2 linked regions of the Macaca mulatta genome follow. The protein of the gene in region 2 purifies or fractionates together with the protein of the main gene of each other region. This does not show direct contact. Links are inferred from orthologs where the notes say so. Each region holds a gene or a part of one and is shown on either strand. Other genes may lie near its edges. The genes, in order: TUBGCP6 and NEDD1.

Evidence for each region.
Region 1: the proteins of NEDD1 (region 2) and TUBGCP6 purify together in Homo sapiens (affinity purification with mass spectrometry; 3 studies listed by BioGRID and IntAct, with this or other methods). This does not show direct contact. The link is inferred for Macaca mulatta from reciprocal best matches to the Homo sapiens genes NEDD1 and TUBGCP6.

Annotation. Positions count from the first base shown.
Region 1 is NC_133415.1:1,217,121-1,220,936, reverse strand, and holds part of TUBGCP6 (gamma-tubulin complex component 6), read right to left. Parts: intron 2,663-3,816; exon of another isoform or gene 2,086-2,662; coding exon 1,912-2,085; exon of another isoform or gene 1,857-1,911; intron 1,736-1,856; exon of another isoform or gene 1,450-1,735; intron 676-1,449; coding exon 554-675; exon of another isoform or gene 456-553; intron 1-455. UniProt on the Homo sapiens protein: Component of the gamma-tubulin ring complex (gTuRC) which mediates microtubule nucleation.
Region 2 is NC_133416.1:104,258,488-104,262,303, reverse strand, and holds part of NEDD1 (protein NEDD1), read right to left. Parts: intron 327-3,816; coding exon 97-326; intron 1-96. UniProt on the Homo sapiens protein: Required for mitosis progression. Promotes the nucleation of microtubules from the spindle.

The sequences.
Region 1 (3,816 bases), on a different chromosome or scaffold from region 2:
ACCCTGATCCTCCCACTTCCGGGGGCTGCACCTGAGAGCCCCTCCCATCCACACAGTGGCACCAAGCACCTGCCACAACTCGCGCCTTCACAGCCCAGGCTCCCCTGCCCCACGGTGTCTCAGCCCTTGGGTCTCCTCAGGGCTGCCACATTCTGCTCCTCTGCCTGGAAGGTCGCCTCTCCCACTGCTCCCAACGCCCAACTCCTCACTCTTCCTCGTCTGACAGCACTTGCCAGTAGCTCCCCAGCCTGGTTGCTCAGTAACCAGCTTGTGTGTACCAGAAGCCACATCCCTAGGGACCCTGTGTGCCAATTAGGCAGGAGCCACCAGGCCTGGAGGGCCTGGATGGGGCCAGCTGTGGTAGGCCCATGGGAGACACACCCACTCTGCCTGGCACCTGGTGAACTCGGCCAGCCAAGGGCCATCCAGTCACCTGCTGAGGGCTGTTCTCACAGGCCCTCCTTGCCAGGAAGCAGAGCAAACCCTCCATCACCCAGCAGGCTCCATGCCACTCCTGCAAAGTCCCCTGCTCAGTCACCATGCTGAGGCTCACCTGAGCTGCCGGCCCAGTTTCTTGAAGAGAAAACCAATGGTGAGGAGGCTCAGGGTGGGCGAAGTGGAAAGGACGCAGGCCCGGTAATACTGCAGGTACCTCCTCAGGCCACTGGTGAAGGCCTGTGGGCAAAGAGGCTGGGAGGAGGGCGGCCAAGCACATGGACGCAGCTGTGACCAGGGCCTGAGGGGCACCAGTACTGGGCACAGCGCTTTGTTTCCTGCCTCAGCTCTGGGCTCCATTTCCAAGCAATGGGCCTCTGTGAGCCACGTCCCACCACTGGACCAGGTGGAAATGTGGCCCCCCCCACCAACCCTTCCTCTCATCTGAGACCAGCTGCCCCAGGGGCGTGGCATAGGGGTTGAGGGGTGAGGGGGGAAATGGCGGCTGCGCTCTGTGCACAGACACTAGTGCTGTGAGAGCTGCGTCTGCTCGGACCACAGTGGTCTCAGTGGCACCAGCATCCTGGGCAATGCCACAGCAGCAGGCCCTGCAGGTCACACCAAGACAGGCGCACCCTGGACCAATCTCAGTCCACCCACCCCAGAACCCTCCTGGCCACGCCTGCCAGATGAGTGGGAACCACAGTCCAGCCCTTCTCAGTGTCCCTGCTCTGCCCCCTTCTCCACCATCTGCAGCCCTCAAGTCCCCCAGGCCTGAGCCTCTGCCTAGAAGCTCTCCCCGTCCCATGCAGCTCCCACCATGCCCACCTCCGCAGCCCGTCTAAAACCTAAACCTCACCACATCACCCCACCCTACAGCCCCTGCTGTGGCAGCAACAGTTGAAGGAGGCTGCGCCGCCTGGCTCCTCCAGTGCTCTCTGCCCACCTTCCGAACACCCTCCTCTCAGCCCCCAAATTACCCATCATCCGCCTGCCTATTCTCTCCCAATCAAGGTGCAGCCTCTGTCCCATGGGTCTCTACTCAGCATATGAGCCAGCTTCAAGACTCACCAAAGAGCGGCTTCCGGAGCCAGACTTGGCTCAGAACGCCCAGCAGTGTAAATTCACCCAACACGAGGGCCGGGCAGTGTCAGTCATCCGCAATGTGCCGGGCCCACTGGGGAGCAGGCGGCAAGAGCCCCACTAACGCCTTTCCTGCCTCGCATGCCCCGAATGCTGGCTGCACCTGCCTCCCACACACCCCAGGGCCCACACGCATCTGCCCCAGGTTTCCAGTGAGGTAAAACATCTTCACTGACCCATCCCTCATGAGCCACTATTGGGTTTCAGATGTTAGCAAGGAAAGAAAAGGTTTAGACTGTCTGGTCCTGCAGAAGGACTTCTGAGATTCTCTTTTCCAGGTCGTGTGCACCGTTCTCACAAGGATGTGTGACAGCCACGAGGCAGAGGCCGTACCTGGAACACGAGGCCCTTGCTGTACGAAGAGTCCAGGACCGGCTGCAGAGAGAAGTGACTCAGGCGCGTGTAGCAGGTCCCATACTCGGCCACCTCCGAGAGCAGGCTGCTGATGCTCTCGGGAGACGCTCCCGACACGTGGACACCCCGCTTCACCACAAAGGCCTGGGCCGGCTGCACAGGGGTAGAGGACACTGCTCAGAGGCCAGGCACCCAGACCCCCAGGAAGGTGCCATCTCCTTCCACCCTTGCACCCAACCCCACACCACCTAGAGTGCCCCCAGGACCCAAAAGCAAACACCCAGAAGGCGCACCCAGAACTCCTACACTGAGGGACAAAAACGTACAAACCAAAACAAGGCACAAATTCTCACCACACTGAAAAATACATGTTTAAAATGCCAAGTGTAGAAAAGGGTAGGAAACAACAGAACACCTTCCACAGGACACAAGTACACAGACAGCCTCCTAGGGCAGAAGCTATAAAACATGTTTGCCGTGAGACCCGCTCATTCAACTCTTCGGGATGAAAGAGCGGAAACGATGGAAGATGCACAAAGACTTGCCACAGCACATTCCCCGCAATGTGTTTGTAACCAGAGAGTGGAGACCCCCAGTAGAGGGCTCATGACAACCGAAACGAACGGGGTGCAGCAGAAGCCAGGAGGGAGGTTACAGCTGCAAATACGCACGTTAGAAAGGAAAAGAGATATCCCACATTACAAGGAAACAAGATACTAAATCACAACAGCACTGTGTATATCCTAAAGAGATATTTTAAAAAGAGCTGTTAGGCCAAGCACAGTGGCTCACACATATAATCCCAGCACTTTGGGAGGCTGAGGCAGGAGGATCACTTGAGCCCAGGAGTCTGAGACCAGCCTGGGCAACATAGCGAGACCCCCATCTCTACAAAAATTTTAAGTTAGGCCAGGCATGGTGGCTTACGCCTGTAATCCCAGCACTTCAGGAGGCCGAGGCGGGTGCATCACTTCAGGTCAGGAGTTCGTGATAAGCCTGGCCAACATGGCAAAGCCCCGTCTCTACTAAAAACACAAAAATTAGCCGGGCATGGTGGTGTGCACCTGTAGTCCCAGCTACTCAGGAGGCTGAGGCAAGAGAATCGTTGAATGTGGGAGGCAGAGGTTGCAGTGAGCTGAGATTGTGCCACTGCACTCCAGCCTAGGCGACAGAGTGAGACTCCGTCTCAAAAAAAAAAAAAAAAAAAAAACACACAGACATCTCTAGGCTGGGTGTGGTGGCTCTTGCCTCTAATTCCCGCACTTTGGGAGGCCCAGGCCAGCGCATCACGAGGTCAGGAGATCAAGACCATCCTGGCCAACATGATGAAACCCTGTCTCTACTAAAAATACAAAAAGTTAGCTGGGCGTGGTGCTGCACACCTGTAGTCCCAGCTACTCAGGAGGCTGAGGCAGAAGAATCATTGAATGTGGGAGGCGGAGGTTGCAGCGAGCTGAGATGGCGCCACTGCACTCCAGCCTGGGCAACAGAGCAAGACTCCGTCTCAAAAAAAAAAAAGACAAAAAAAATTTAAAATTAGCTGGGCGTGGTGGTGCAGGCCTGCTGGTCCCAGCTACTCAGGAGGCTGCGGCAGGAGGATCGATTTGAGCACAGGAGGTTGAGGCTGCAGTGAGTCATGTTTGAACCACTGCACTCCAGCCTGGGTGATCCTGTCTCAAAAAACAAAACAAAACAAAACAGGCTGGGTGCAGTGGCTCACATCTGTAATCCCAGCACTTTGGGAGGCGGAAGCAAGTGGATCACTTGAGGTGAGGAGTTTGAGACCAGCCTCACCGACATGGTGAAAACCCCATCTCTACTGAAAACAAAAACTAGCCGGCGGGGTGGTGCACACCTGTAGTCCCAGCTACTCAGGAGGCTGCG
Region 2 (3,816 bases):
GACGTTAGTCAGAGGTCTATACAAATCACAAATATGCCTGTTAGTGGAATAATAGCTATTTGTTACTAAATTTAAAAACAAGCACGTCACACTTACTTCTTACTTGAAGTGTCATAGAGGATGATTCTTTTATCCAAGCCTATGGTTACAAAGAGCAATTCATTGACAGGAGAAAAACAGATGCCTGAAGCTGGAGCTTTGTGTACACTGTCAAAGTTATGGTATGGATTCTGACTATTTACATCCCAGAGAGTTACTATTCCATTATCCGAAACACTGCCCAGTAGTGATTTCTTAAACAAGGAGTACTTCAACTGCCGAACAGACTACAAAAATGAAAGAATAAATTTTATGTAATTATAAGCATTCACAAGGATGTTTTATATAAGCCATATAAATTATGGCCAACCACACTATTCACATGGGGTTTAGGATTTCTCTGATGTGTAAGAGTGACAGGTTTCAGCCAGGCATGGTGGCTCACGCCTGTAATTCCAGCACTTCAGGAGGCTGAAGCAGGTGGATCATCAGAGGTCAGGAGTTCAAGACCAGCCTGGCCAACCTAGTGAAACCCTATCTTTACTAAAAATACAAAAATTAGCTGGGCATAGTGGCAGGCACCTGTAATCCCAGCTACTCAGGAGGCTGAGGCAGAGGCGGCGGAGGTTGTAGTGAGCCAAGATCACGCCATTGTACTCCAGTCTGGGCGACAGAGTGAGACGCTGTCTTAACAAAACAAAACAAACAAAAACAAACAAACAAACAAACAACTCTGTCTTAAAAAAAAAAGAAAAAAAGAGTAACAAACTTCAATCATGACAACCACAGTGTCATTCAGTGGACCATAAGATGACATACCAATAACTGAAACATACCAATCAATAGTCTATTAATATTCACCATTTTATTATCTTGGAGTATAGCTACCTCAATCTTCCCCTTTCAGAGGAAAAATATAATACATTGAGATTATCTACATGAATTCATCAGGGTTAGAACATTCACCATATATAAAAGGCCTAGTCACAGTCAAATCATGAACAAGTAAAAGGGAATACTGGGAGAAAAAAAAAGCAATAATATTTTGTATTTGTTTTTTATATCTTAGATATTTTGATGCATTCGTTTGAATCTGAGCATCTGATGCACTGACAATTCAACACTTGAAGCATAATTTAAAAAAAAAATTAAACCACAAAGGAAAAACTGGCAACACTCTAGACTGGGGATGGACTATATCCACTGTTTCCAAACCATCAGCTTGAGGGCAATGCTGGCCTTTCTCTAAACACAAATCCCTGTGGGTAGTGGAGATATTCTCTCTTCTTAGTTTCTATGGACCAGAATAAACAAAGATTTAGTTTGAATAAACTGATCTTAGATTAAAACTAACTGAATTTTATCTACTTTTCTTTTTTATTAAAATGTTACTCTCAAACTTGTATTGATGTTGTCATTTACTAGGCTGAGAATTAAGTACTTTACATTTAAGCTATTTTTTTCCCTACAAATTTATATTCTACTTAACTCTAAAATGTCTAAAATAATATATATTAGATCTCAATAACAAAAAAAAATTGTCTAGGAAATGCAGACTTTTTTTTTCTAAGAAAAAAAAAAGGAGTATTAGTCACCTGGTACCTAAGTTAAGACAATTAATATGTTAACCCATTAAATATGGCTCATTTTCAATGGCTAAAGTACAAAGAGAAAATGTTGGTTTACATAGTTTTTATTTTTGTTGGGAAAAAGTATATCCAACTTGAATAGTCAAATCTTTTCTCTGGTCTATATTCAAGAAAAATAAACTACATGAATGTTAACTATATAAAAGACACAGAGATCCTTAGTACATTATGTTAATGATTACAGAGTCATACACAACATATCAAAATATAAGGCAAAACATGATTTCTAAAAAGATTTCTACAGCACTTTAGGAGTTCATATAGTTATGGTCCTTCACATGATCTAAATTTAGACTAAATATACAAGTAGAATTTTTTAAAACACCATAAAAATCATAGACCTGGTAGATTCTCAAAGTTCAAAAAGTTTAACCTTTTAGCAACAGCAGGAATTTTCCTAAAACATCCTTAAAACATGGTCATCCAGAATCTGCTTGCAGGTAGCAAGGAACAAGAAGTTTACCACTGTCTATAATACAACTTGATAACCAGTTAAAAACATATTCTTGATCAAGACAAAAAAAAAAGAAAAGGCTAAAGATAATGATAAATGTTCCTTTCAGATAAACCTAAGTTCAGTGAACGCTCAGCAAACCTCTGTATGATTTAAGTGAATTACTTAAACTCTCCAAAACTCAGTGTTGTCATTTACATAACAGAAAACACTCTTGTTTTCCTGTCACAATTATTTTAAGGATTAAATAGCATTTCTGTAAAGAATCAGGTACACAGCAGCTGTCACCACCATTTTCAGAAGCTCATAACTTACTTGCTCATCACTGCTTATGTACCCACCATTCAAACATCTTTTACATATATTTTTAAAGACCCTTAAGTAACCACACTGAATTCTTTAAATGCCTCCAATTATTTCTGTGATAATACTAACAGAATTTCATTTCTTAACTTTCTACATCTATTAAATCTTCTCTTTAGAATATCATTAAGATATTAGCCAAGAATCCTGGATAAACAAAACACTGATTTACTAAATTATATATATATATATAATTTATATATATATTTAATTGTGTGTGTGTATATATATATATATATATATATATTTTTTTTTTTTTTAAGCGACAGGATTTCGCCATTTTGCCTAGGCTGGTCTCAAACTCCCAGATTCAAGCACCCCACCTGCCTCAGCTTCCCATAGTGCTGGGATTACAGGTGTGAGCCACCACGCCTGGCCTCCAAATTATATTTAAAATAAATATTAACTTATTTTAGTATCAGCAGCACTTAAGTCATTAAGTCCCTATCTTGTTCCAGACTAAACTATTTATAAGAAAAGAATTAAATCAAGAAGCTTATGGGGGGAAAAAAAAATCCCAGCACCATAAGCAACAATGCTATTTTTTCTTGTAACACATTATTGGGTAAGAATGTTGTGTGTTTATGGAGGAGGGAGACTGTTTCTAAATATAAAAAGCACACCACTCACTACAGGCGAGGGGAAGGTTTCAAAAACTTATTCTTAAAGGGCCAGACAGTAAATATTTTATGCTATTGTACTGAAAAGTAGTTACAGATAATATACAGATGAAAAGCATAGCTGTGTTCCAGTAAACTTTACAAAAATAAGTAGGCTACACCATTGGTTATAGTTTGTCAGTCTCTACTAAGATAATTATTTAATAGAAAAAAGGTTTTTTTTGATCACAAAGAAGAAAAATCATCCATAATCCCACCCAAAATCATCCATAAACCCAGAGAAAAGCTGGTTGACATTTTGAGGGGATGTCCTTTAAGTATTTTTCCGTGTGTATGTATGTTTCTGTGTATTCAGTATAGTATCAACAGAAAACCTGGAATAACGCTTTATAATAAACAGTCATGTTAATGTTTTCTACGTGATTTTAATAGCTGTTTAAGATATGAATGCACGAGTACACCAATTTATCTAAATAATCATGTCAGACATTTGGGTTACTTCTGATTTGCAAGTACTCTAATTACTACCCTTTTTTAAAATTATTAATTTATGAAAAAAATTGTAATTCATTGTTGTTCATGCCTTAAAGGTTCTCAGTTGAAAATGTGAAATGACTATTTGTCTTTCTTCTTTTGCAAATTGCTCATTATTCTACTTTGCCTATTTTCTATCGGGCTATGAAGATTTTTA